Lytechinus pictus: one gene and its partners. The protein of the gene in region 2 purifies or fractionates together with the protein of the main gene of each other region. This does not show direct contact. Links are inferred from orthologs where the notes say so. Each region holds a gene or a part of one and is shown on either strand. Other genes may lie near its edges. The genes, in order: E3 ubiquitin-protein ligase RFWD3-like, replication protein A 14 kDa subunit-like, pre-mRNA-processing factor 19-like and DNA topoisomerase 3-alpha-like.

Region 1 (6,895 bases), on a different chromosome or scaffold from region 2:
TGACATTTATATATTTCTATGAAACAATGTTTGAAAATATAATAATAGAATACATTTGGCATGAATATTACTTTTTTTCTTCAAAGGAAATTTCACTTAAAATATACTTAAATCCCAACAGCATCCCAATCATGTGAAAGAGCTTAATACGCTCTTTCATTTGATACGAAATTCGTCATGGCAGTATTTATATTTTTGAAGATAGTAAAGTTTACGATGTTTGGCAAGCGAACAAATTTCACTGAATTCCATGTCAAAATCTGCAACATTGGATAAGCTTCATCAGATGAATGGGTTTTTTTTTTTTAGTTTCTCTTTTAAGCATTTCAAGGGCAACTCCACATCACCTACTGGCCAGCTCCGGTGTAATTCTTTCCCTGCTTTGCAAGGAGTGCCATTTTTGCGTCCCCCCCTTCTCTCTCTCTTTCTCTCTTAATTCACTCTCTCCGTATATTTTTTTTTCTTTCAATATTGAAAATGTTATGCAAACCTGATGGTGTTCATGATCCTGTGATATTTCTGTAGCATCTGAATCATATAGATCTTGATCACTTTCGATGAGGATGGTCGAACCATTATCATCTTCATCAGAATCACCGTGATCCATTGGTCATCAATCAATCATAACCTGTATTAAAGAGAAGATCAAATGTAAAATTAAACGGATGCACATGCACAAGAAACAAAGTCTTTGGTTCGTTCTGCACGACATTAAGATGGGGAATTCCCTTTGTCTTTCGAGCTCTGCAAAAAAACAATTATTTTGGGGGCTTCCTTTAACTTAGTCTTAGAAGTTAGGCTCTAGCACTCATTCAATGAACAAGGTTATGGCCATATGGGCTCTACTCTGTACTAGATCTACCCAATTAAATCTGCAACATTGGATAAGCTTTATAATTAAATTAAGTTTAAGACTGCATCACCACTGGCACTGTCATGACCAGTAGAGGCGCACGGCCAATATGGGAGACTCTCTCCAATAGGGGAGACAATCTCCCACATTGGAGACTTGCTTTGCAAAAGGACAAAAGAAACAACACCAACAAAAGCATGATTTTTTCCACCCAAAATTTTGTCTCACTGGGGTCAGAAGCCCATTTGTTTTGTGTGTGATTGACAACAAAAATCCTTATCAAAACAAAAGTAGACAGTGAATTTTTAAAGTAGACGGTGTCGGTGAAAAGGGGTAATTTTTCATGAAGAATCTGCTTATCACATTTTTATTTGCCGCCAAGGTAATCCTTTTGCAGCAAATGTAAACAAAGGAAATTGGACTCCAAAACACTCTAGGCGACACCCCAATACTTACCCGTGCTAATAAACTGGGACTCCACTCACGCGCGTTTGGGCCTCCCTAGCTTAGAACTAAGCACTAATATCACCTTAAAAACTAAATCTACAAGGTATGTATAATCTATTTACAACTTTAATAATGTTTAATCGGTACTCACCGGTTCTTTTGTTGCATTTTCAGACCATTTCTCACAATTCTTCGTAAATATTTGCGGCAAATTTTGTCGCCATAGACAGCTTAGCATCCATCTTTATTGATAAATGGAGCGCCCTTTACGATAGTTGTTAATGCCGCGGAGAAATCGTTAGGCATTTTGGCCTGTGTTCAAGGCGTTCTTTCTGTTTTATTTTTTATATTGAAGATTGTGCATTTGTTGAATAGCGCCGTCTACGTCAGGTATGAGATCGAGTGTATAAATACACTCTTCCAAAATAATTATGATTCCGACCTGGCGCTGTTTAACTTCAATCTCTTTCACCTAAATTAGCGATGAATGCTAGCATTATAAAATATATATTATTAACGTCTGACGAAAAGAATAACCAACCGATCAGCTGACGAGAACGCGAATCACGTGATCTTCATATCAGCTTCGATCGCGAGTCAGAAGAGAAGAGCAGCTGCCCAGAAAATCAGGAAAAAGCCGTGAAAATGTAAGTTCCCCTTCATTTCTTTCATTTTTTTTTTTTTGCTAACGATGCATTTACACTATAAAATTATAATTTAAATAAGAGAAAGGAATATAGCTTGTACTTGTGATATAATAATATAAATATCCTGTTCTCAGAGATTTCTAACCAAAAATACTACTGATGTCGCCTATGAGGTCCATACATGTAATGTTGGACCTCATTGGTACTAGGAGTGCTCCAAAACTGGAGACTGTCTCTAAAAATTGGATAGGCCTACCAAAATTCTTTACAAAAGTCTCTGATATTGGAGATAATCTGCCACATTACTCATTAGAGATAGTCTCCAATATTGGCCGTGCGCCTCTACTGATGACTGTGGTCCATACGATGGGCGTATGCCTCTGGAGTCTTGATACTCAGACTCCCACGGCTCCTTCTAGTTCTAAGACTAAGTTCTTGTTTAACTTAAACAAGGACAAAGACAAAGTATAACTTTTCGTTTCCAGGCCAGGCAGTGCTACTGCCGTACTGCTAGTTTTGAGCATTGCATTTGTCCCCTGTCCCTCTGCATGTTTGGTCTCTCTTACTAGTTGATTGTTCCACTGCACTCAGCTCCAATGGCTTAATTTTTTTTTTATTGAAGACTCTTCCAAACAGACGGCTGCCAGCTCTCGAACGTCTCCAGCTCCGCTCCGCGATGGGGCACCAGCGCCAGCATAGCGCTCGCTAAGCTAGCGCCACTGCCCCCGGCCCGGCCTGGGAGAGGAAGCCAAAGGCGAGGTCAGTGCCAGACGGGCCAGAGCCGAAGCAGGGCACTGGCAGAGACAGAGTGCCGAGACAAAGTCAAAATCAGACCATCATTCAAAATTAAGATTTCAAATTGGTTTTATGTTTCAACACCAGCTTCAAAATACTTCCGTATCAAAAACACACTGTGCCTAATTCACATATGTATTCACTTTTTAAGATAAAAAAATAGTAATAATCTAACTTACTGTAATCCTAAATTAACACGAAATGATGCAGAGAAGATGCGATTTCATAATCAGGCGCGCGCTCGATAATAGAGGGCGCGCGCAGTGCTTCCACTTTTCAAAACGAAACTCACAGTGGAATTTTATAATTTACTAAATATCCTGTAATTTTACAAATGGGCCCCAGTCTTCCATAAGATGTTATGTCAGTGGCAGCATCGAGATTTTAAACTAGGGGGGGACAAAGGCAGACATGATTTTTTTTTGTCTGTGATGTTCCCAAAATCGAGCGCGAAGCGCGAGTTAAAATTTCAAAATCATAGTCCCTACTGACTTGAAAAGGGACCTGACCGATTGAGATTATAGGTATCTCCCCAAATAAGTAATGCGAGCGTGAAGCGCGAGCTGAATATCGTGAGATGATAAATATATCGGGAAGGTCAGTCAGAGAGCATATAACATTCTAGACAAGGTCATTATGCTGATCATATATTCAGGAAGTGTCGATCAATATAACCAGTCACCGACAGGAAAAAGTGATCACTGCAGCCTCCTTGTTGATGTTTCATCTTCGAGATAGGCTGCAGAGCCCTTTGAAGATTAAAGCAGATGATGAAACTTTAATCACTTTTTTATATAGGAAGGGTACTATAGTTATTGATGCGAGGCGTAGCGCGAGAGTTTTTTTAAAAATATTTTTTTAATTTTTATCACTTTTTTGTAAGCAGGATGCGTATCTCACTAAAACAAATAATGAAAACTTGAATCACATGAAGAATAATTTGTGCATATTGCGCTTAAACACTGGCCTTTTTAGCCCCTTTGTTATCCAATTAAACAGATTTTATTAACCAATGCACCGCCACTGCGTGCACGAAGCGCCAGCTAAATTTTGAATGTTGTATGACTCGAAAGATTTGTGCTAACAGTGACTGCATGGATGAGAAAATTTGTAAAATTTTATGAGTGAAAATGTTGTATTGAGGTATGCCTACTTTAAAACAGCTTGAGTAGGATGCTTATTCAGCTTAATTCAGTTATATTTTTTTAAGTTTTCAAAAAATTTCAAAATTATTGCTGCCTCCACTGTGTTATGTTTCTCTTCCATACGCATAAAAAATATTATAAATATATGCAACTGCCAGTACAAGTCCTCAGCAACACGTAGGCCTACGTTACACAATCATGAATTACACAAGTCTTCAATAGGCCTACTGTGGGCGTCGTATTCTAGTGGTTACGACACTCGACTTATAAGGATGTGTGGCCTGACGAGTGGGTTCGAATCCCAGCCTGTGGCGTGTTTTCCTTTAGCAAGAAATTTACCCAGCACATTGTGCTGCACTCGACCCAGGTGAGGTGAATGGGTACCCGGTAGGATTTATTCCTAACTTGAATGCTTTAGCGCCTATATAGGCCCGTGGCGGCTCAGCTACTGTACAGCCGGGGTCATAATATACCAAGAATCAAGATCAGTATATGCAATTATAATAGCTGCGCTATATAAATGGACCATTATATTGTCTACTATAGCTGACTGCCCTATCAGCAACCCACATAAGAAGCCAATTTATAGTCGATCCTTAGCTTTATCTTTTTTAAGTAAAACATGCATAATACATTAATATTATATTACGATACGGATGATGATGATCATCATTATAGTGATAATAATAATAATTGTAGTAATGATGATTATCACGGTGATCTTAATCATATTTGGGTGTTTCCATAATTAAGGGACTCATCCATACCCGGGGGGGGGGGGCCACTTCCATTGACGAGTGGATACCATGCGCGACCATGGGGTCTCGAAAAGCACACTAAACACGTATTTTCCAAATTCTGAAAATGCACCCCTTAACAAGTATTGGCGTCTGAAACCCTACCCTTAACAAGTATTGGAAACAAAACGATACTCTTGGCAAGTATTCCCTGAAATGAATCCCTAAACAAGTATACAGCGATATTTGATTGTTATGTCACGAGTCCATCGGTCGTCGGTTTTACCTTTACAGTTTACACACCATTTGGTTTAGTACGGCCCCAGCTTCCACACCTCGCGCAAATCGGACTCTAAACACGTAGTGTTGGGGCAAAAAGGACATCCTTTATAAAACATTTTAATTTTGTTTTATCATTCCCCCAAATATGACCTTAAACACGTAGCTTTCCTAGCGAAATAGATACCCTTTTTTCATTATTTTTGTGTTTTTGACACCCTTATCACGTTACGTACGTAACGTACCCTATCTTGAAAAAGACATCCTTTTTACGTGTTTTTTTGGTCGCGCATGGTATCCACTCGTCAATGTAAGTGGCCCCCCCGGGCATCCATATGGGTATCGATCACGATCGAGGAGTGCATGGGGTTAGTACTCCCCTATAAGGCTTCAGGTGGGGGGTGGCATGTGTTCTCATCCCCCCATAAAAAAAAAATTGCGGTCGAACATAATTATGCATAATATATTGCTGTACAAAAAAAAACCATTTAGGGGTGGTTTTTTTCAGTTTTAGACGTGGGCCATGCGTGCACTCGTTACGGGTATCAAAAACACCGATTTTTTTTAAAGGTGGTTTTGAAAGACTTGTCAATAATCAATCGCGTCAAACGTATTTAAGGTATTTTCCAAAGCTACGTTTTTTTTTAGACTAGCCAAACGTGTTTAGGGTATGTTTTTCCCCAAGCTTTTTCCCCCGCTTTTCCCCGGGTCTTTTTCCTCCTCGTTTCTGAAAAGTGTTCGTGACGGTCTTCCCGGGACACGGGAAAACGGTCATGAAATTTGTCACCTCTCTGTCCACGCGGCAATTTGTTTTATAACTAGGGGCCAAAATAAAATCCCGCGAAAAACTTGATTAGGGGGTTAACTTGCACACAGAGAAAAAAAACTCGTTTAGGAGGTGTTTGGAAATAATTTGGTCACGCAGGTGTACAGCAATACATTTGACTGCCACCCCCCCCCCCCCGGGCGAACATCATAATGATTACTATGAATCATATTACAAGTATATATGATCGTGATACAAGGAATACAATACTGACGGAGCGTAATGGTAATATCGATCGTCGTATAATACGCATGATACGACCTTCATTTTGTTTTTTTTTCTCTCTAAAATTTCCTATGTAGGCCTATATTCAATTCAATTCTTTTATTTCATTTCCATTCAAAACATAATACAAAGTAATATAAAGTAATACAAATCAAGTACAATTTTACAGAAGGGCATTCTTACTTCGTAAAAAAACACAGAAAAAACAGTATAATATAGAGCATAAATGGAAATGAGGGGATCCACTAAAAAGCAAAGCTTGTAAAGTGTGGATTCCCCTTGGAAATGAAGAAAGTATAGTAGACTTATTCTTATATGCGTACATATATGTATTACAGGAAATAAAAAGAGAACAAAAGAAATCATACGGATGCAAATATGATTACTGAACAAATGCAAAGCTTTTCACACAATATTGTAATTGAATGAAACAATTCCTTTGAAATATAGTTTTAGAAACAGATAGGCCTCGAGGGGAAAATATCCAGGATGAAATAGAACTTAGCGGCCCGAATTCACAAAGGTGGTTTTGAAAACCCACGGTTGAGTCCATGGTTTATGTAGATTTCCTGTATAAATTACGCTTAATTTAGCGCGTATCTGGCGCGTGTATAAAAAATGTCCAATTCCGATGCGCGCTTTTGTCACAGTGCGCCAAATTGACGCCTGTTACCATGGTTAGATACGCTATTTTATTCATGAGTCCACTGTTTTTATTCATGAGTCCACTCTTCAAACAGTGGACTCATGAATAAAATAGCGTATCTAACCATGGTAACAGGCGTCAATTTGGCGCACTGTGACAAAAGCGCGCATCGGAATTGGACATTTTTTATACACGCGCCCGATACGCGCTAAATTGAGCGTAATTTATACAGGAAATCTACATAAACCATGGACTCAACCGTGGGTTTTCAAAACCACCTTTGTGAATTCGGGCC
Region 2 (7,703 bases):
ATAAACAGTAATAAAAACCATTGTTGGGCCAGTAACTTTTCCAGAAATGGTCAAATTCACTCGTCCAACATGAACATAAAAAATATTCCATGACTCAAATTGCAAACCATTTTCCTCCCGTTAAATTTGGTCATTCACACACAGAATACACACAGAATGAATCGCATGCAATTTTTACTAGGGTAACATACAGTGTACATATGGCTAGCCAGCCACACAGCCCACATGGTGAATTTTCTACTGGCTGCACGAACGAAGCTTGGCAAAGCTTGGCAAACCTCTGGCAGAAATCTCTCACAGAACGGTCAAAATTCACATTTCACACTAATGAAAAGCTCTTATAATGTCCATATTTCCTAAAAATTGGGGTAACTGTCATTTGTAAGCAGTAAAAGGAGAAATTTTCACTTCTGTTTTAGTTCAAAGAGATCGGGTTTCGAGTGATATCGTCTGAATACATGATAGCCCCACATATGCATTTGTGTGTGTTGATACACTTGGTTTCTTTCGTAGCTATATCTTAATTGAGCCAAAAAGAAACTGATAATTTATTTATGATAGTTTTAGCTTTCTTCCTCTGTTTTCTTTCTATCTTTCTTTCCTTCTTTCTTTTCAATCTTTCTTTGTTTCTTCCCTCTCTTCTTTAATTTTTTTTGTTACTGTCTTTCTTTTTTAATTATTCTTTGTCTTTCGTTCTTTCATTCTTTCTGTCCTTTTAACATTTTTCTCTATTTCTTTTTCTCTTTCTTTTTTGATTTCTTTCTTTCTTTAATTCTTGAGTCCATCCATCCTATATTTATCTCTTCTTTCTTTCTTCCTTTCCTTCTTTTTATTCTTTCTTTCCTTCATTCTTTGTTTCTTTCTTCATTCCATCCATCCTTTCTTTACCATTTCTTGTTTTTTATTTCTTCCTTCTTTCAGCCCTTTCTCTCTTTCTTTCATTCATTCCTTCCTTTCTGTTCTTTCTTTTTTCCCTTCATTCCATCTATCCTTTTACCTTTTTTTTTTTTTTACTGCTTGCTTCCTTTCCTTTCTTCCTTCGTTCTTTTATTCCCTCATTCCTTCCTTTCTTTGTCTTTCGGTCTTTCTTTTTTTTCTTACTTTCATCTATTTTACATTTTCTTTCTTTTTTCTATTGCTTGCTTGCTTCCTTCCTTCTTTCCTTCATTCTTTTTTCCTTCTATCTATCATTTTACCTTTCTTTATTTCTTCCTTCTTTCAATACTTTCTTTCTTTTTTCCTTCTTTCCATCTCTCCTTTTACCCTTTCTTTCTTTTTTTATTGCTTCTTTCCTTCTTTCTGTCTTTTGTTCTTTCTTTCTATATTGCTTGCTTCATTTCTTTCCTTCATTCCTTTATTTCTTCAGTTCTTTCTTTTTTTCCTTCCTCCACATTTATCCTTTCTTTACCCTTTTCTTTCTTTCTTTCTATCTTTTTTCCATCTTTCCTTATACCCTTTCTTTCTTATTTTATTGCTTCTTTCCTTTTTTCATTACTTTCTGTCTTTTGTTTTTTCTTTCTTTCCTTTTTTTTCTTTTGTTCTTTCTTTCTTTCTTTCTTTTTTCCTTCCTTCACATCTATCCTTTCTTTACCTTTTATTTGTTCTTCCTTCCTTTCTTTTATTATTTCTTCCTTTGTTTCTTTTTGTCTTGCTTTCTTTTTGTCTTTCATTCCTTCATTTTTTTTTTTTGGGGGGGGTAACAAGAAAGGACAGCAAAATAAATTCACGCCTTTTTTTAATGTTTTCTTTATTTTGGGGACCAGTAGATTTTAGGTTCGGACCAGTAAAAAATGGAAAAACTGGGTATCTACTGGTCCGACATGAATAGGTTGGACCAGTAGAAAAAAAGTGTTAGTGTGGAGCCCTGCATTTCTAAAACATTTTAGTTTGTTAACAATTGTTAACATATATTCAACCCCCCCAAAAAAAATATCATTAAGATTTTTGTTAGATCATAGATTGGATTTTTTTGTTTGCTTGAAGTTTGAACTTTTTTCCTCTTTCTTTCATTTTTCTTTCTTGCCTATCCTTCTTTCTTCATCCTTCTATCCTTCCTGCTTGCCCTTTTTTGTTCCATCTTTCTTTCTTTCCTGTTCTTTCTCTCCTTCCATCATTTTCTCTTTTTTTTTTAATTCTCTGCTCCCTTCATTCTTTCTTCCATTTTCATCCTTTCTTTCATTCTACATCATCTTTATTTCTTTCTAATTCTTTTCCTTTAATTTATTCTTTCTTTCCCTTCCTGTTTTTCTTCTTTCTTTTAAAGAACGAAGGAAACATTTATCTTTCTTTCATTAATTCTTCATCCTTTTTTCTTACTTTTTTTCCTTTCTCCTTTATTTCTTCTTTAACACATTCATTCATCTTCCCTTCCTTTCTTCCTTTATCTATTTATTTCAAAGATTCAATGACAGAAACCCTTTTATTTTATTCTTTCTTTCATCCTTCTTTAATTTTAATTTTCTTTTTGACTTTTTTCCTTTATCTTCCCCTCCATTTTTTATTGTTTTCCTCTCAATTCATCCCTTTCCTCTTTCTCCTTCAATTTGTTCACCCTACCTCCCTTCCTTTTCTTTATAAATTTTAGTATACATTGTGTAGCCTTCTTTGTTGTTATAAATGTTTAATTAAGACATGGCTCGTTCAATCCGCTCGTGCATCATAATTTGTCGATTGTCCCGTTATCTATTTCATTTTGTGTAATCTGGTCACCCTGGCCCTGTTATTGTTAATCTTTAGTCCCGAGCATTAATTTCTGTGTAATATCTACAAGTTCATTACAAAAGTACGTTAAAACAAGTGACATAACTTACATTTTTCAATTGGCCCAGAAGACAAACGATGCTCCCTTGGTGCCTTGGAAGCATGGATCCATTAACTCTTGGTTTAGGTTGGTTGAAAGCATCCATTTTGGTAAGAAAAATTGTTTCTTCACGTAAGCCAAGGTCGGTTTTGCTTCTTTTTGTTAATCGCAATTCGATGTGGATGAATTACGCGCGCAAACTCACTTCCGGCCGCCGCCGAAGTTCGCTAAATGGGCCGAGACCGCAAGAAGGGAGGGGGGGGGGGGGGGGGTGCATATATGTATGTTCTTTTCTTTCTTTCTTTTCAACTTCATATATTTCTGTCCTACTTAAACCAAGGAAATGCATAAACAAATAGTACCATGTCATCTTGCCTCCGTTCTAGGTTGACTTTTCTTGTTGTCAGAAAAAGATGTTCTGTGCCATGATCGAATAGCACGACTGAAACCACAGGGTTATATTATAGGCCTAAGCTTAAATTGTTAATAACTATGTTTTATCGAGAATTACATGTATTCAAACCCAGGCTGAATTTAATATAAATGGAATGGGGGGGGGGGTAAAAATTAAGGCTATGATATACTAAATGGTCTGTATTGATTTAGCCCCTATTTATGCCATTATATAAAGTTAATCTAATATTGGGTCTAATAGATCAAGTTGTAAGTACACTTTCTCTTTTACACCTAGAAAGGACGAGAAATGAATCATCAAACCAAAAGGAGGAAAATGCGCCTATTTAAAAAAAAATGGGGGGGGGGGGGTCAAAGCAAAGGCCAATATTCCTTCAAGCGGACTCCCTGTCACACAAGAACTAAAACTTAAATAAAGTATTTTTAGCCAGGCCTTAGGAAACCTGGAGATTGAAAAGTTGTGGCATGTCCAATACATCTATCTGAATTAATTTGAATGCATCAATTCTAGATTTTTTTGAATGGCCCTGCATATCATTTCAAAACTTATGTAAACCTTTGTGGACCCTTCAATTTCCTGCTTTAATAGGCCAAATAATAAGTATAATCATGGATTTATTATTCAGATAGTAGCTCCATGGTATTAGGTAGAAAAACCTTCAATATATCTTTTTCATTCTACAAAATACAATATTTTGTTCATTCCCAGATTTAGAAGCAAAATGTTTATTGACGCAAGTCAATTTAATAGTCATTCAACCTTGAAACTCATCCGATTTTCCACTAACATTTTTTTTTTAGAATTTCAAAGAATTTCAGAGAATTTGAAGCAAGAGTGCTCACCAAAAAGTTGCTTTTGCCTGCATTATGGGGTATTAGGACTAATTGACCCTCGTTCCCATCTAATAGTGATTCAAATGTTTGTAGGTGATATAAGACGAGAGATCTCTAAATGTTTTCAAACGTGAAAGCAAACCCAGGATACTATCTTGGCCAAGTATTACAGACCCTGGCAGATTGTTTTTATTTTTAATTTAAATTTCATTATAATTTCAGATGGGGAAAATCAAAGAATATTAGTTTTGTTTTGCCTTTCACTAGCTAGAATCAAACAAACTGTGATGAAAATTGACACATTTTCATAGCTGAAATTTTATCATAAATACACTATAGCCAAAAGTTCACTAAAATGAGTTTTGTCTGATAATAAAAACAAAAAGAGACAATACAGCACGTTTGTTATTCCAAAATTGTACATTTATTTGAAGTACAATAAGGTAGACTTCTATTTATAATCTAATTTGGATCAAAGCAAATGCATCAATTAAACTTTTACCAGAAGACACTACAAAATAAAGACAAAATAAGGCAATAGAATAAAGAAGACTGCTATGCAGGAGTGTCAGATACTAGTTATTCCAACTACCATCTGCAAAGAGGAGACTCATTGTCAACAACCGTTTCAGGACTGCTTCATATATAAAGTGTTGACTAAAAGTAATATCACATCAGATTCTACAAGCTATTTTAATAACTCCTCGGGAATTTTATAAGCCCCACTGCATATATGTATGTTTGATAACAAATAGTTGTTAATCCGAAGACTAGTACACTTAAATGGTAATACTGTGTAAAGGGATAATTCAAATCCAGTAGTAATAGATATAAGGATAATATTGAAAAATAGTGTATCAAATCTTATACACACATACAATGATTGCTTAGAGTTCACTTTCAGTTTGGACTGTGTATTTTGTTCAGATGGATAAACATTGTTAGGAATATAAAACAAATAATGCTGATATTAAGATAATAACAGAATACAAACATACTATAACCCATTGAATACAATCATGATAGTACTTGCATCGAGTCCAATGGGAATGTTTGCTATTGCATAATGTAACAGACTGGAACTTGCTAAGAAAATGTAACATTCAAGGGGGGGGGGGGCAGATCTGACTTTCACGTTGCTAACATATTTTTATTTTTGGAGTGCCTAATGTCAGGCATTCATTTTCATATCACATATGGGCAATTCTATAGGTTGGTGGACATGAGCTCAATGTGTCTTTGTACATATAGCCCATCTGAACCGTAACGTGAGTAACCACTTTATCTGCAGCCCTTGTAAAAACCATGTGTTCTTTATTTTTTTAATTATATACAAATTTGTCTCCCTAATATACTTCTTTGAAATGGATATAATCAACTGTCATAAAAGCCTTGCATGAGGACACTTTTCACTTATGTCCACTTTTCATTTTATGCATGTCCAAATCATGTAACATGAGTAACCGACACATTTCAAAGATTTGCCAGGAGCATAATGAAATTTCCCAAGTTTTGTTTTTATACAAAAGATAGACAGACTGCGTACTATGTTGTGATAAAGAGATGTTTAGTTCCTATCAATAATAATGGAGTTACAGCTCCCAGTATGAGTCAAGGTGTCTCCAAATGTAACGTGAGTAACCGTGGAATAGCCCATATGCCTACATGGACAGCAGATAGGACCATTCAGCTTACACACTTACTAAATATCTTTATGATTGGAGAATTTATAGACTGAAAAAAGTCTGAGTAGCTAAATATACTTCATACTTATCTGTATCATATGATCTACAGAATGAAATACAAACATTTAATCACTAATAAATGAAATTACTACTTAGAAGCATTTGACATAAGAAAACATGAACAAATATTTTCTTGCACATTAGAAAAAAGGACAGAGCCTATATCATAGTGTGACTATACTGAACATAGTACCTACCGGTATATGCCAAAAATATCTCAAGACCTTATGAAGGCAAAAACAAAAATAATAATGCATGTTCTGTTTATATGTAAAAATTGATCAGATTTCAACCAAGAAAATGTATGATTGTATCAAACACATTTTCTAACTATCATCATGATTTTTTTTTTAAACATTAAATGCATTTACCACAAAAGAGGTATCTTCCATCCACACACACACAAATCTTATGAAGTACAGAATAAACTTCACTATCAACTCATGATCACTTTTAGTGAAAAGAAGAGGTTTTCTAACTTTATTTCAGAGGATTAGGATCAGAGTATGGAGTTAACAGTCTCTGGAAAAGCCCAGCCACCATTTGATTCAGCAATGTGTGATCACTGCTTCAGCAGGCATGTCTGCTTCTCATTATTATGAATACCACTTAGGGATGATTGAAGAGTAGGAAAATCAGCCAAAATGAGCCCTTCAAAGGGAATTTTCGAATTTCTTTGCCCCAAAATATTTTGTAAGGGAACATATTTCTACTTCGGTTTGAAAGAAGCAACACTCTTTGTACTTTTAAACAAAGGAATGATTTCGAATCCTAAACCTTTTTTCATGCGACAAAAAAAAAATACAATAACACAGGTTTTTACTAAGCTTACATAGTTGACGGAATATGAACTTTTCCTTTCTAGACTTGTGATGAATTATCCAACCATCAGAACTACTCACAAACTGTATCAAGAATACAGTTTGCATAAAGTACTTGCTGCTATATTAGGCTGGCTTCTTACCAACCCTCAGGTTGTCAGAACATTTAGCATGTATGAAATATATGTTATTGAACCAGTACATTACAGCAAGTATGAAGGTATTGCTCCATCAGGTTGGGGCCCTGTTGCACAAAAAAGGTTTGAACACAAATAAAAAAAGATCAAGCACCAGTTCCTCATACATGCATTTAAATGGATGAAGACCAAGTTGTGTGTGATTTTTTAGAGTTGCATTTGACTAAATCTCTTTCTGCAACAGGCTAAAGACTTTTGATTGAATCTCTTTCTGCAACGGGCTAAAGACTTTCAATGTTGACAATCTTGGCAAGTGAAAAGAAAGTATGCATTTCAATCATATCATAAAGATATGATTTTAAAGGCAAAATTGAAAGTTGCCTAATATTCTTTACTCACAGCCTTAATTGTGATTATTAACTAATACTTATATTTTCACGTTCTTGAGCCGATGGTGGAAAGGTTACAGGCCCGGGGGGGGGGGGGGGGGGGGGGGGCACTCAGTATATAATGCATAGTGGGTATGTGCCGCGGAGGGGACCCCCATTTTTACACTCAAATTTCCGTTCCGAGGCATAGCATTTTTGTCTTATTGAGAAAAAGAACAAAGAAAGCCGCTCCAAAGCATAGCATTTTCTTCTTCTCGAGAAAAAAGAAGAAAACAAATCCGCTCCAGGGCTTCGCATATTTTCCGGTACGCCGTTCCGGTCGCAATTTTGGTGAAAAGCGGCCGCAGCTCGCTGTCCGACCATCGCCTCTGCGCTAGCGCGCCCGTCAGTCGTGCCGCCGGGCTAGCTGCATGCACGTTCCATAGGGATGCATACGCACTCGCACGCAGGCGACCCGTTCCAAGGACCCCCGTTTTCACAAACATTTGTAGTTCCGAAGCCCGTTCCGAGGACCCTCCTTTTTACAATTCGCCCGCTCCAAGGCCCCCGTTTTTTGTCTCGCC
Region 3 (7,157 bases), on a different chromosome or scaffold from region 2:
AGAAAGGAATATGTTAGGTAGTCAATTGTAATATTTGTATATTTCAATAAATTTTGCCTACTTATCAGGATTAATGTTGTTGTTACTGTCATCATTATTCTATTATCATTATTACTATTACTATTATTATTATCATTATTATCATTATTATTATTTTCATCATTATCATTACCTTTATTTTCATGATCATAATCACGATCCTTGTCATTTCTATGAATTTCCTTTTACATCTTTTCAGTCATTTGTTTCACGATTGACCTGCCATTTGATTACCAATATTAAAGTCAAGCAGTGTCTTAGTAGTTCTCAAAAATTGTAATAAGCTTACCACAAATACTGGACACGTCAGGGTTTGGTAGAACCGATACAAAGCATGGTGTGAACAACCCCAAGAACTGCCACAGAAACTTTAACCTGAACATTTTCTGAAAAAAAAAAAATATTGAATTTCAAATTACTCTGATTCCATGAAGATATAGATCCCAGTGATCATCATTATTTTATGATTTTTATCATGTATTCTACCCTTTTAAGCGCATTCTTCCTGGTCAAAGGTCAATATATATCAATCCTGTAGTTTATCCTAGTTTATAAAAGCCACAGGTATGATTCTCATCATAACAGTAATCAGTATTTAATTCTGATTTCCATGAGAAGATACAAATACAATTCATATAAATAAAGAAACAGAAAAGGAAAGCAAAATTAAATATCAAGTTTACATTAAACAAACACAAAGAAAAGGCCAAAAGAAAACTTGTTGAATCAGACATGCCCAACTAATTGATGACATGTTAAATTATGGTTAATATGAAATGATAGGCTAGTTGTGGCAATTAAGAGAATCGGACAAATACATGCTAGTGGTAAATTAGAAGGAATACTATAAGAAAACTGAAAATAATCAATGAATGAAGTAGTCTAATTAAATACAAAAAATATATCACAACAAATTGACACACATTGGTACAGACAATATATAACTTCTTCTTACTAAGTTCTACTAAATTAGAGGATTATGTATTATGCACACTGCATCATTGGTGTAAACGTTTGTTCTTTTATGTGCACAGGGACCGTGTTCATTGTTAGCTGCCATAGCACCTGAAGCTTCATAGCCCAGAGCAACAAATAGACAAGGTTCTTATAATTAAGAATAGAAATGGTCAAACAAGTGAATTGCAACAATCAACTCCCTGGTAAAAAAAAAACAACAACAAAGAACAAGCAAAGTTTAAAAAAAAACATGAAAAAGGACACCTCTACTCAATGAAAAATGCTATAATACTAATACAGGGCCAATGCCATACTTTTGTCTTGACATGGTCAGTGATAATAGGTAGTCACACTCACAGACACAAAAGTTAACTCTTTCTTTCATTGGCTTGCTTTCTACTAATACAATAGTTCTTTCTGCAATTCTGTTCAAAATCACATACCGAATTCCTTTCCTCAAAAGCTGCTGTGATGTGAGAGTCAAGTCCAAATAAGAGTCCAAGAAATTAGCCTCGTCCTCGACAATGTCAATGATGCAAAGCCAAATGTTGTCTTATTCATTCCTGCCTGGCAGCTCAGATGTGTGCAAGGCAGCGACCCCACAACGACTCAGTCTCAGGCAGGCCAGTACCGCGACAGAATTGCAGAAGAATAAGCTGAACAGCTGATATTATCGTGATCAGAGATCATTTGCATACAATACATGCTCCCTTATCCTTATCCTTATCCTGTAGTGGTATACTGATTAGTTCGGGCCACCTCGCCTCCGGCTACATCCACCGCGCGCGGCGTCCGGAGTGTTTGGAAGATGGGGAATTCCCTCGTACTTTCTCTGAAGCGTGACGTCACGGTCTGTCGGGAAAAGGGGGGGGGGGGTGCTCTTAGTTCGTACGTGTGTGGGATGTGCGGTGCGATTATTTTTTTCCTCTCCATTTTCTGTGTCATATTTCTTTACTTCTTTCAGTGAATTGGAAAAATGAATTGATCAATAGAATCGATTTATAAATTTATGAAGTGCCTATAGTATAGGCCTATGTTTTATCGATTTGATTTTGTATTAGCCTTATGAAGTATGATGTAGGCCTATTACTTATGAAGTTATGAAATCTATGCAGTCAGTTTGTTTGTATTGACTTGAAAAAACAATAAAAAATACTTTAAAGAATAAGTGAAATACTGCCCCTGCATGAAATTTCAGTAAAGCTTCATCTTGTGCCCTCAGTGAACTCATCGATTGAAAAATCTTTGGTCTAATAATCTACTGTATGTGTGGTTTTTTTTTTACTATACATTTATGATAATATGCACAGGTTCGTTCAATGTTTAAAATGAAGACGTTTTACAGAAGATTATTGGCGATAGGCAGCCAATGTGATAACAATGTTTAATGAAATAATATTATAAGGGACAGAACTTGGTTATTTCCCACCCATTTTCCGCATTGATGTATCAAACTAAACCGAACTTCTTTGAAATGTACTTTTCTTTTTTAATCTTAAATACTATCCGTCAAGTGATTTTGGTATATTCATTTTTTACTCACCCAAGCATGAATTAGCTAGGTTATTGAACGAGGAGACTTGAGCTTTGTCTCCTGCATTTTTCACTGAATTATCAATATATCTCGCTTACATACTTTTTTGCTGCTGTTTTTTGTGGGAAACTTTGTATGACTACACCTTCACTGGTAATGCTACATATCAACTAGTCCGAAATAGTGATAATTTCCTGTAATATATTCTAACGTCCATTTTGGTCTAATGTCCGAATTTTATCAAACATCAAATTACTCTGTCAATATTTATTTAGTGTCTTAAAATGTAAGTGGGTATCGGGCGTTTTTCAGCCACAATACATTCATGAGTTTGGCTAATGTACATGCAATTTTCAGGTATAGGCCTATGCATGGCTCGTAATTATGATAGGCCTTATTTTCCTATATTATGCCAAAGTACAAATTGAATACTTATTTTCTCTGCTCAAAATTTGTTGCTTTCTTCCGAATTGCTCTAGACAACAGCACTTGTAATAATCATTCTTTCATTATATATCTACTCCAGCCCCACCCCGGGCAAAAATAAATAAATGAATAAATAAATAAATGAGGAAAAAATGAACCTAAAAACATGCAGAAAACAGACAAACTCGATAGAGCCAAATGTCATCTGTCATTTTTGGCAATTTTTTAGTTTTTTTTACAAGTATATATTTCAATATTAAATAAAAACACAAATGTAGCTTGGCAATATCCCCAAAGTTAAAAACGTGACACTTTCTTAATTGTGAAATGTGAATGATATCGTACGAAAAAGAGGAAGCTGTTGTTCTCACAAAAAAATCAAACTGGTTCACCATGCATGTAACGGGCAAGTAAGAAACCGAAATTTAACTTATCCAACGTGTGTAATGAAGCATTTTTTCTCTATTCCTTAAAAAGCTGTGTGCGCTATGAATGCCTAGCTTAGCCGGGTAATGAGCGCCTTCAGCACCTAACAAGGTGATGATGTGCGCAATATAAATACCATATATTATTATTATTATTCTTCACTTCTTCATGCATGCTTCTATTTATTTCTTTTTGTTTTCTTCATCTACTAATGTTGTTGTTATTGATATTTTTCCCTCTCTATAATGAACCGAACGATTTTATTGTTTTTACTTTTTTCCCTCCAATTATCTCTTCTTTTCTGTCTCCTCTTCTCCTTAACTGATTTCTCCATCTTTCTTTCCCTTTTCCCTCTTTTTTATTGCCGCCGCTAATGGGGGGGGGGGGGGGGGGGGGGGCTATTTTGCCCTTGGACCCGTCTATGATTCCTTTATATAGCTACTTCTTTTTCTTTTCATCGTGAAATTCTTATTCTGCAGTGTGCCCCCTTTCATCAGTCCCGTGATCATGTGCCCAAGTGTCTTGTTTTAATTTTAATTTTTTAATTGTTAATTTTAATAATTAATTAATTTTTCAAATAAAAGTTTCTTTTTTCTAGTTTGTTCTAAGTTTTTTTCCTTTCTAGAGGGGCAGCGGACCGAGGGGAGGGGCAGGAGGAAACATAGGGGAAAATGAAACAAGGACAGGAATCGTTATTTATTCACTCCTTCACTCGGATAAATAGCAATGACATTTTCTTTTGATTGTGGTTTTCTCTTTTTTTTTCTATATTTATTATATAGAGTAGACCGCCATCTCGCAATGACATTTAGATAGTGGCTAGGCGCTCACGCTTTGCAACATGGCGTTAGTTTGTTCAAGTAAGCAAGTATTTCATTCAATTATTTCACCGTCATCATGCCAATTCCGTAGATTTTTTCGAGGATTCTTTTGGATTGATTTATTAGATTTGTATGATAATAATGATGTTATACGGTTTGCTTTGAATGGGAAATTGTAGGGAATGCGATGTTTCGGATTCTTGTGGCGTAGTTTTGATTTCGGTCCCATCAATGCTTTTCAGCGTATGGTCGTGTTGATGTTTAGGCGCCAATGCAGTTTCGCACCGGCCGACTTCGTCTTCGAGATAATTTCCCCACCAGTAATTGTTCGAAAATATCATAGCAGCCAGGTCTCTCAATCACATTTCAACTTCAAGATCAATACATCCAGCGCTTTTCCGGTTGGGCGCTAGTGTAGTTTCGCACCTCCCCATTTAATGGTTTTCAAACATGTACAAAACTACAATCTCACCCTAAATTATAAATAATTCACAACCTAAAAATTTGCATCTGAGCCTCCAAAGTCCAGTAGAAGTTGAATATTTGCCGTTTTGACACTTTTTTACAAAGTTTTACACCTATTTCGGAATCACTCGGTCGCTTGATCAAGCTCAGCGCTGCACATAAGCAGTCGGTACGCGTACAGTACGTACCACCTAGTGAAGTGTGTGTGTGTATTTGAGTTTTGTCAGACGTGTATCAATCAGATATGATTATTTACGTCTGGGACCGACCTTTAACGTCACCATCCGAAAGACGTGACCAGGGCTCGAACCTCTGCATCAAATTGTAACTTCCCCGCATAGCTTGGATTACAGGCGCACGCCACAACTTCTTCTTCTTCTTCTTATGTTTGTTTGAGTGGCGATTAGTCATATTTGACTATTGTCGCCATTGACATTATTAATAAAAAATCTCACTTCTCACATAATAATATTATTACCAATATGATGTATACATATATAAAATATTTTTTTTGTATCCTTCTGATATGAAAGAGGATAATTATGATATGTACAAAAGTTTGCAGTAACTCTTGTCAAAATGGCATATAAACAAAACTTCACCAAAAACAAACCGCTATCTTCAGCTCAGTTCCAACTAGTTGCGCTTGCCCTGCCCTTTCAAAGATGCAATCATACCGGTCAGCACGGTACATTGTGCCGATTTTTCGGACATAAATGCCTAGGTCACCCATGCATAGACGAGGGGGCGCTAGTGTACCTGTGCTTACAGATGGGTTAAACATTAAAATCATTTTTTTTTTTTTTTTTTTTTTTAAACAACACCAACAACAACAAGGCGAAAACACTTGTGGGCTTTGTTAGTTATATGTGCAGAACATATCATTTTGTATATATTATATCATACATTATTATGTATATATATATATATATTCTTCTTTTCACATTAGACTTGTACAAGCATATCCATTCATATTTCTTATAGACAATACAATATTAAAATAGTACATCACTCCTTACTAAAACGTTTCGTTCTTGAAACGAAACGTAAAAATGCTTTCTGTATCCCTGGGTCATCTTTTTTTAAATACTCCATTATTTGTCCTGGCTGTGATTCATTCAATTCTACAAGGAGCATTGATCTTTCAATTATATATTTTGGACAATGTAAAAGATAATGTCTGACAGTTTCTAGCTCAGGACATCTATCACAAAACCCTGTTGGATGGATCCCTAATCTTAGTAGATCTTGGTTAAGACCAGCGACTCCAAAACGGAGACGATGGAGTACAGTTTCCTGTCTTCCTAGATTACATTTATATGTGGATAGCACTGATGGTTGCAATTCTTTCAGTGCTGAGTTAGTTTTATTCCATCTTTCTTGCCAAATTATCTTACAACTTTTTGAAATAAGTTGCATAATTTCTGATAATGTTATTTGATTATGAATTTCTATTTTGTTTGATAAAGCTTTTTTTGCGCAGGAGTCTGCTATTTCATTTCCTTTTATTCCACAGTGACCAGGGATCCACTCCAGGTATACCTCTATACCTTTATATTTGAGTCTTGTACTAATAGTTAGAATTTCTGTAATGATAGGATCGTCTTTCCGATTCTGTAAAGATAAAAGTGCACTTAATGAATCACTGAAAATAACAACACCTGTATATATATCTAAATATTCTATCCATTCCAGTGCGAGAACAATCGCAATTAATTCAGCCCTATAGGAGGACGTGAAATTCGATAGTCTTTTGCCTTGGTAACAGGAAAAATAAGGTACATAAAAAGCAGCTGAGCAACGCCCAGTTGTGCAAGAAGAGCGAGTTTTTCTATGGTATCTTCAAAAAGATTTTTTCCCCTCTTTCAGCTTGCACCAAGTATTACGGTAGTGGTTGTGCAGAGTGGTTGATGTTTGTTGTGTGAAGGTATGTGTGTGGGGTGTGCGTGTGTGTGATTTTTTGAATGAAATGTGAAAAATGTGAATACACGTAGATTTAGCGATGAAATAAGAAATAATAATGTAGAGCCTTGTTTTGAACTCTAGGTCAGCTCAGAGAACTTTCCTTCAGTTTACACTCTGCACAACCACTACCGTAATACTTGGTGCAAGCTGAAAGAGGGGGAAAAAATCTTTTTGAAGATACCATAGAAAAACTCGCTTTGGATTGATGGATTACTGTACAAACTCACTCAATGTGGTATAGGAGGAAATATGTTACATTTTTTAGAAAATTATCTAACAGAACGTACCTTTCAGGTAAGAGTTACAAATACTGAATCCAGAACATTCCAAGTCCATAGCGGACTCCCCCAGGGGAGTGTTCTGAGTCCCCTTTTATATAATGTCATGATGAGAGATATTCCAATTGATCCTGAAGTGACAATATCCATATATGCTGATGATTGTGCAGTATGGTTTTCTGGAAAAAATGTAGAGAATATTAGATTAAGGATACAAACTTATCTAGATGTATTATGTACCTGGCT
Region 4 (7,768 bases), on a different chromosome or scaffold from region 2:
CATTGTGAAAGAGAAATTAAAAATGTGTGCTTTTATTGTATGTATGTATTGACAGATTTATGAAAAATACCATGAAAATTGATTTCATCTGAATAGAAATATCCACAAAAGATGAAAAATTCAATTCATGAAGTTAATTTCATCAATTAACTCTGGCTGGTCATTAAAAGAATTTTCCTCATAAGCAGATTTTTAAATGTCGAAACAATTTTTTTTTTCACTTCTCAATGTTTTCTGTTTAGCCATCTGATGGTAACTATATGTTCCATGGTAACAATGCTCAAAAGACAATCAGTGAATTAAGGATTCCATGAAATTTACCCTTAATGATGAAGTTACCATTATGGTATAATTACCATTAGAATAACATTTACATGTATGCAACTAATTTAGGCCAAATACCTTTGATAAAGTACATTTTGCTATTGGCAATTCATAAATATTTGGCTTAGATTGAAATCATTGAAACTTATCAGGAAATAAAAAAATCTAATCCATTTGATTCATCAATTGTTGTAAAAGTAAAAAAAAAAAAAGAAGATTTTGTAAACTTACCCTATTGTATCTGCCCCTAGACATGACATCAGCAATTGACTTGGCAGCATCATTCTTCTCAGCTACATTCAGAACCTTGGTTGCATGTCCCCGTGCCATAGTGAGGTAGGTGCACAAAGATATCCTCAAGCAATTCGTCCAAATTAACATTGGATGGGAAATCCTTAAATGTCCAGGTATAACCCAAATAATTCTGCCAACTACAATGTACCCCAGCTCACGCGGACTGTTCGGTGGTGGAATTTATCATTTCATTTGTCTTCTATGCATTCCAATGCAATTTGTAGAAGTAAAATACTGGAAATGTATTGCCTTCACAGATCACTGTACCACGAATCCTGACAAATTAAAAGCGATACAGGTTCCATAACAGACTAAGTTGCTTGCGGATGCACAAGATTTGTTGACGGAAGGACTTTGATCTTGCCATATAACTGAGGACAAGTTCTAAGAAGATGCAGAGGGGCAAATAAGTCTCCTATACTTTATGCCCAACATCAAGGTAAATCAAGGTAAATACTTTGGAGAAATAGAAATCCATTGCATATTCCATACAAACATGTCCAGACATCAGAATTCCTGCACATATCGTAAGAGGAAAAGGACATTGGGTAAAAGGAACACCATGGACATTCTTCAGAACTTCCAGGTCAAGAAGTGTCATCTATATGGAGAGCTTCATGTATTCTCAATAACCAACTATGAAACCAAGTTAATAGTTGATAAGTTTAAAAAAAAAAAAAATGTTGGTAATAAATTCAATACAAATGGCAATCAATTCCTACGAAGGACACGTTATTCTTTTCCCTATCTTTTCTGGATTTTCAACCAGTGGTAAGTATACTTGCTCATGTAGATCTAATACCCGAGCATGCTAAAAGATAAGAAAATAATTATGCATGAATGAGATAAGTTGTATTCTGAAAATATTCTCATCTTTTATCTTTTCTTATCTCCCAAGGTATTTACAAATAGCTAGAGTGTTATCACCATACATCTCATCATGGCCGTGCTCTTTCTTGATCTTTCCCGACATCAAAAATAGTAACTAGCAGCTCATCAACCTTGTTACAGGCCCACTGTGAATGAGAGGGCCGAACAAAAAGGATATGGGATACCTAGATCATTGGGGTGTGGAAAAGTCCTACTATAACAATATTACATCAACGGCCACTGGCACTGAAGGTCTAGTAGGAACAACAAGAGTAACGCTAAGGCCAGCACATAATATGCCCGCCTGCAACGCGGAAAATTGAGTTATTGGTCAAGCAAGAAAAGTGGAAGGTGGCGACCTCACCTTTGACCTTCTGACCTCAAACTCAATAGAATTCCTGGGATCTATGCTAGCTAGTATCATACACATTCAAATTATATGAGCCTAGGTTAAGTTAAACTAAAGTTATCACATTTACAAGGACTTCAGAAGGGTAAGATGAAAGTATGTCACTGTGATCTTGACCTTTTGACCTCAAAATCAATAGGCTTCCTTGGATCCATGACCATGCTAGCATCATACACACCAAATTATATGAGCCTAACTTAAGTTATTGCACTTACAAGGAAAAGTTAATGGACGGACTTGATTTCGCCGCCTGATGTAGAACCGGGGTCCTAAAGCAACGCACTCGATTTATCATGCAAAAAATTAGTATTTCCTGTGGGGGTGCTTCAATTTCTAAAATATGTTCACATTATTATAGGATCTGAGGATATATGATTATGAAATAAAGCGAATATAACTCCGAAATTCCAAACAGTTGTTGGTTTTCTCTGCATTTAACTTGTTAGAGATTTATTGCAGCCTCTGGGCACTGGCTCTGTTGAAAAAAAATGAATACACCTGACCTGTAGTCTGTACTTGTAGTTGTAGGAATTGTTCGTCACTCTCTGACTCTGTCTCTGGCTCTGCACTGCAGCACTGCAGTCACAGTTCCACAGTGACCACACACAGACTCATTTGCCATTGAAAACTGCATGCGCGATGAGTGTGGCGTTGCTTTAGGACACCCTACCATAGTCCATACGTATTCTCGAGTGAATTAAGGGTTTGCACAGCAGACTACACTAGCCCCGGGGAAGTCGCCACTTTGTGTACGGGCTGCCGAGCCGGAGTACGGCCCACGCCTAGCTCGCCCGGCTACGGACGTTCGACGCGTAGGTACCGGTACACCGGCGCCGGCCGCCGCAGATAGTAACGCGCGATGCGATGGTCGGATTCAATTCAACTTAGCTGCCTACGAGACGTCTTGACGTGACTTAGGTAGACTAATCCTCTTTAAATACCATTGTAATAACATCTTGAATAACTGATAAATTGATGGCAAAAGTGTTAAAACCCAATCAAACATTACCGGTATCTCCGTATGAGACCGAGCGAGAGCTGCAGTGTAGTCTTCGGTACCGTAGTCTTCACCATTTGATTAAGCCGCCATTTACTATTTCATGATTACTCAAAATAATACCTCTAATCTGAAATTATTGATGTTTTTGATAAATAAAGTAGATTTAAAAAATAGATAATAATACAAAAACTGTATTATATATATTGAACACTTTTGATTAACTTATTTTACATATTAATCATTATTAGTGTAAATTATAATTTACACTACCGGTAATATACTGAAGGTTGTTTTGTGCCAATTTGCAACACCCTGTGGCTATATATTTTTAAAGATTTAAAAATATATATAATTATTGCTTATTATTATCATCTTCATTATTATTATTATTATTGTTGTTGTTCTTTCTATTATTATAATTATTATGTTTGTTATTATTACTAATTGTGGTGGGGGTGGCGGCCGAGATGCGATTATTTTTTCCGTATAGGCCTACATGGAAACGCTAGGGGTGCTATGGTACATGAATTATTCATAAGTTAAGCTAAAAAACTGAAGTGCGCAGGAGCTATAGTTCTGTAACTTCATCAATTTGTACATGAACGAATGTAATATTTTACTATGATACCTAAATTTTTATAGAAATTATGAGTTTAACCAAAAGTGAAGTCAGATATAGTACAATGGAATAGCCCAAATAAAAAAAAGGACTAAAATAATGGAATATAACCCAAATAAAAAAGGCCTAAAATAATGATTTAAATAATGGAATAACCTAAATAAAAAAGTACCAAAATGATTTAAATAATGGAATAACCCAACTAAAATGGAATAGCCCAGATAACAAAAACAAATAGTAAAGAAAATAGATCAACCCAAATAAAATGGAATGATTTATATAATGAAAAACCCCAACTAAAATGGAATAGCCCAGATAACAAAAATAAATAATAAAAAGAAAATTGAATAACCCAAATAAAATGGAATAACCAAAATAAGAAAGGACTAGAATAATGGAATAACCCAAATAAAAAAGGACTAAAATAATGATTTAAATAATGGAATAACCCAACTAAAATGGAATAGCCCAGAAAACAAAAATAAATAGTAAAAAGAAAATGGAATAACCCAAATAAAATGGAATAACCCAAGTAAAAACGACGTAAATAATGATTAAATAATGGAATAACCCAACTAAAATGGAATAGCCCAGATAACAAAAATGAATAGTAAAAAGACAAGTACAAATCAATAGTAAGAAGAAATTGGTATAACCCAAGTAAATGAAATAACCCAAATAAAAAAGGACTAAAATAATGATTTAAATAATGGAATAACCCAACTAAAATGGAATAGCCCTGAAAACAAAAAAAAATAGTAAAAAGAAAATGGAATAACCCAAATAAAATGGAATAACCCAAGTAAAAACGACGTAAATAATGATTTAAAATAATGGAATAACCCAACTAAAATGGAATAGCCCCGATAACAAAAATAAATAGTAAAAGGAAAATGGAATAACCCAAATAAAATGGAATAACCCAAATAAAAGGGACTAAAATAATGATCTAAATAATGGAAAAACCCAACTAAAAAGGAATAGCCCGTATAACAAAAATAAAAAGTAAAAGAAATGAAATGACCCAAGTAAAATGGAATAACCAAAATAAACAAGTGGAATGCCTCTGGCCGTCTCACCTGCATCACGCGATTCAATATAGCAGCAGTGCTGATTTTGAAAACTACTATAACTCGCACAAGATGTTCAGTGATACTTGGTTACTCTTATTTCCACGTTTTATGAACTAGACCAATACACTTATAGAGATATATATGATGGCAATTCAACAAATACCCCCAACGTGGCCAAAGTTATTTGACCTTACATGACCTTTGACCTTGATCATGTGACCTGAAACTCGCACAGGATGTTCAGTGATACTTGATTACTATTATGTCCATGGGCGGAAATCCCAGGGGGGACAGGGGGGACGTGTCCCCCCTACTCAAAATATTAGGGGGGACACAATATCAAATGTCCCCCCTACTATTTTTTGGTCTTTTATCATGGTAAGAAATACATTATTCTAAATAAAAATAAAACATGTATTTTGGGAAGAGATGACCTTACTTTGGCGATGATAACCTTTTTTTTGCTTGTCAAATTGTCCCGCCCCTTGTCCCCATAGGCGGATCTAGGGGGCCGAGGGGCCCGCCCCCCCCCCCCCCCCCTCTTGGCGGAGCAAAAAAAAAGGGAAAGAAAGAAGGAAAAAAGGAGGGAAAAGAGAGGAGAAAAAGAAAAGAAGGACTACGAGTGCATAACATAAGATGAGGGGAAGACTTGGAAAACAAAAATAATCTTTCGTGCCACTATATAAAATTTTCGCTCGCGCTTCGCGCTCGCATTGCCTGTTAGGTGATTTACATATCTTGTTCAATATGGAGTTCGAATATCAAGTTTGGAAGTCAACATACAAAACATATTTCACCTCGGAAATCGAACTTTCATTAATTTGTGTAATTTACAAATTGGTTTTTAAAAAGTGCTCTGTAAAAATGTCAGTTTTATGGTCAGAATGTTAACATTTGCTGCTTGCGCTGCGCGCTCGCAAATTTTGATTTATCAGGTACCTATTATTTTCGTGTATTCCATAAAGTTGTCAAAATATCCCTTTTCAGGTCTGATTGTCAAGACGTATCAGCTAGCGCGCTGTACGCTCGCATTTTGATTGGCGAGTTATATAAATGTTTCAATATTGATTATACAACAAACTGCTTAAAATCCCCCTTTCATGACAGTTTATCAAAAATTTTAGCTCGCGATTTGCGCTCGCATTAATGGTTAAAAATATATTAACTGATGCATCCTATTCATAATAAAAAAAAGTGAAATGTCCAGTTTTTATGCCATGATATCATCAGATTTCGCGCCTTCATTAGGCATTAATAAATATGATATTAATTTAATAATTAAATTGTCCCTTTTCTTTCATCTCGCGCTTAGCAAGAGGAATAGGAAGATAGTCATCATTTTCATATGATGACATGTCGTAAGGATGTCCCGGTCCTATGTCAAAACTCAAAGTAATAATAATATCAGCTCTTTTTTTAGTGCGATCCATATCTACCTTACAATTTTTCTACAAAGTGCTTCAAATATAAAGCTGAAATTGACTCTTTTTCAGATCGGAATATCAAAGTTTCATGATTTTCATGATTAAAGTTGTATTTAGAATGCCTAGATTCTAGGTCTAAATATGAAACACGCTCGCGCAAGTTTATTCAGATACTCAACTTGTTCTCTAATTTAAATCATTATCCAGTTTCAGATCACAATATCAATTTTTTTCTGCTCGCGCTTTGTACTCGCATTATTAATGTAGAAAGACTCCATATTACTCATACTTTTGATGATTTACAAAACATGAACAGAGTGGCCCATTTTTAGGTCTAAATCTCGAAGAAAATTCTGCTCGCGCTTCGCACTCGCATCAATCGTTAAATTATATAGTTATCCTGTTCACGATTACAAAAACTGATTAAAATTTTCCATTCTTTCTTTAGAAAGTTCAAAAAAATTTCAGCTCGCGTTTCGCGCTCGCATTTTTTTATTGTTGGAATATGTAACGCCTTCATGGCTAAGTGCAAGCAGTCCTTCACAGGTACCTTTTCAACAGGTACCAGTTCAAAACGTATATAAAAATTTTCTGCTCGCGCTTTGCACTCGCATTATTAATACTCATCCTTTTCAGGATTTACAAAACTATTATAGGACTAAATGTCAAACTTTTCCGCTTGCGCTTCGTGCTCGCATTAATTGTTTACTTATATACCTATTCTGCTTGAATTACAAAAAGTGCTTAGAATTTCCATTCTTTAGGTGAAAATGTCAAAAAAAATTCAGCTTGCGCTTCGCGCTCGCATTATTTGATTGACAAATGCTACTTTAACAGGTATCTTTTCCATCAGTTCATTCTGCTCGCGCGTTGCGTTCGTAGTAATTATTTAGTTGCATACACATCTTTTTCAGGATAACAAACATTGCCCAGAATCAGTTCAAATTTTAGGAAAAAATACATAAAATTTCCAAAAAAAATAGCTCGCGCTTCGCGCTCGCATCATATAAATAAGGATTATGATATTATATATTAATTTATAAGAATAAAGCTAAGAAGTGACTCATGAGGACTACCCCTTCAAAGAAACAAACAAAAATCATCTTCGTGCTGCCGATCGGGGAAAATATGGCTGAAACAAATTCCCCCCCCCCCCTCTATTGGCGCAGGCTGGATCCGCCCCTATGTCCCCCCTACCTTTTGGGAGAGATTTCCGCCCCTGATTATGTCCAAGTTTTATGAACTAGACCAACACACTTTCAAATTTATGGCTGTAATTCAACAAATACCCCAATTTGGCCAAAGTTCATTGACCCTAAATGACCTTTGACCTTGATCATGTGACCTGAAACTTGCACAGGATGTTCAGTAATACTTGATTACTATTATGTTCAAGTTTCATGAATCATATCCATAAACTTTCAAAGTTATGATGGTAATTCAACAGATACCCCCAATTCGGCCAAAGTTCATTGACCCTAAATGACCTTTGACCTTGGTCATGTGATGTGAAACTCATGCAGGATGTTCAGTGATACTTGATTAACCTTATGTATAAGTTTCATGAACTAGGTCCATATATTTTCTAAGTTATGATGACATTTCAAAAACTTAACCTTAGGTTAAGATTTTGATGTTGATTCCCCCAACATGGTCTAAGTTCATTGACCCTAAATGACCTTTGACCTTGGTCATGTGACATGAAACTCAGGCAGGGTGTTCAGTAATACTTGATTAACCTTATGGCCAAGTTTC

Evidence for each region.
Region 1: the proteins of replication protein A 14 kDa subunit-like (region 2) and E3 ubiquitin-protein ligase RFWD3-like purify together in Homo sapiens (affinity purification with mass spectrometry; 5 studies listed by BioGRID and IntAct, with this or other methods). This does not show direct contact. The link is inferred for Lytechinus pictus from reciprocal best matches to the Homo sapiens genes RPA3 and RFWD3.
Region 3: the proteins of replication protein A 14 kDa subunit-like (region 2) and pre-mRNA-processing factor 19-like purify together in Homo sapiens (affinity purification with western blotting; 3 studies listed by BioGRID, with this or other methods). This does not show direct contact. The link is inferred for Lytechinus pictus from reciprocal best matches to the Homo sapiens genes RPA3 and PRPF19.
Region 4: the proteins of replication protein A 14 kDa subunit-like (region 2) and DNA topoisomerase 3-alpha-like purify together in Homo sapiens (affinity purification with mass spectrometry; 3 studies listed by BioGRID and IntAct, with this or other methods). This does not show direct contact. The link is inferred for Lytechinus pictus from reciprocal best matches to the Homo sapiens genes RPA3 and TOP3A.

What each region holds. Positions count from the first base shown.
Region 1 is NC_087250.1:13,548,773-13,555,667, forward strand, and holds the start of E3 ubiquitin-protein ligase RFWD3-like, read right to left. Parts: upstream 3,008-6,895; 5' UTR 2,922-3,007; intron 629-2,921; 5' UTR 608-628; coding exon 491-607; intron 1-490. UniProt on the Homo sapiens protein: E3 ubiquitin-protein ligase required for the repair of DNA interstrand cross-links (ICL) in response to DNA damage. Plays a key role in RPA-mediated DNA damage signaling and repair.
Region 2 is NC_087257.1:26,796,166-26,803,868, forward strand, and holds the start of replication protein A 14 kDa subunit-like, read right to left. Parts: upstream 3,011-7,703; 5' UTR 2,907-3,010; coding exon 2,811-2,906; intron 1-2,810. UniProt on the Homo sapiens protein: As part of the heterotrimeric replication protein A complex (RPA/RP-A), binds and stabilizes single-stranded DNA intermediates that form during DNA replication or upon DNA stress.
Region 3 is NC_087246.1:31,300,825-31,307,981, forward strand, and holds the start of pre-mRNA-processing factor 19-like, read left to right. Parts: upstream 1-4,148; 5' UTR 4,149-4,223; coding exon 4,224-4,242; intron 4,243-7,157. Other genes in the region: uncharacterized protein CG3556-like, read right to left, coding at 329-422. UniProt on the Homo sapiens protein: Ubiquitin-protein ligase which is a core component of several complexes mainly involved pre-mRNA splicing and DNA repair. Required for pre-mRNA splicing as component of the spliceosome.
Region 4 is NC_087254.1:17,256,263-17,264,030, reverse strand, and holds the start of DNA topoisomerase 3-alpha-like, read right to left. Parts: upstream 3,004-7,768; 5' UTR 2,907-3,003; intron 1,135-2,906; 5' UTR 706-1,134; coding exon 556-705; intron 1-555. UniProt on the Homo sapiens protein: Releases the supercoiling and torsional tension of DNA introduced during the DNA replication and transcription by transiently cleaving and rejoining one strand of the DNA duplex.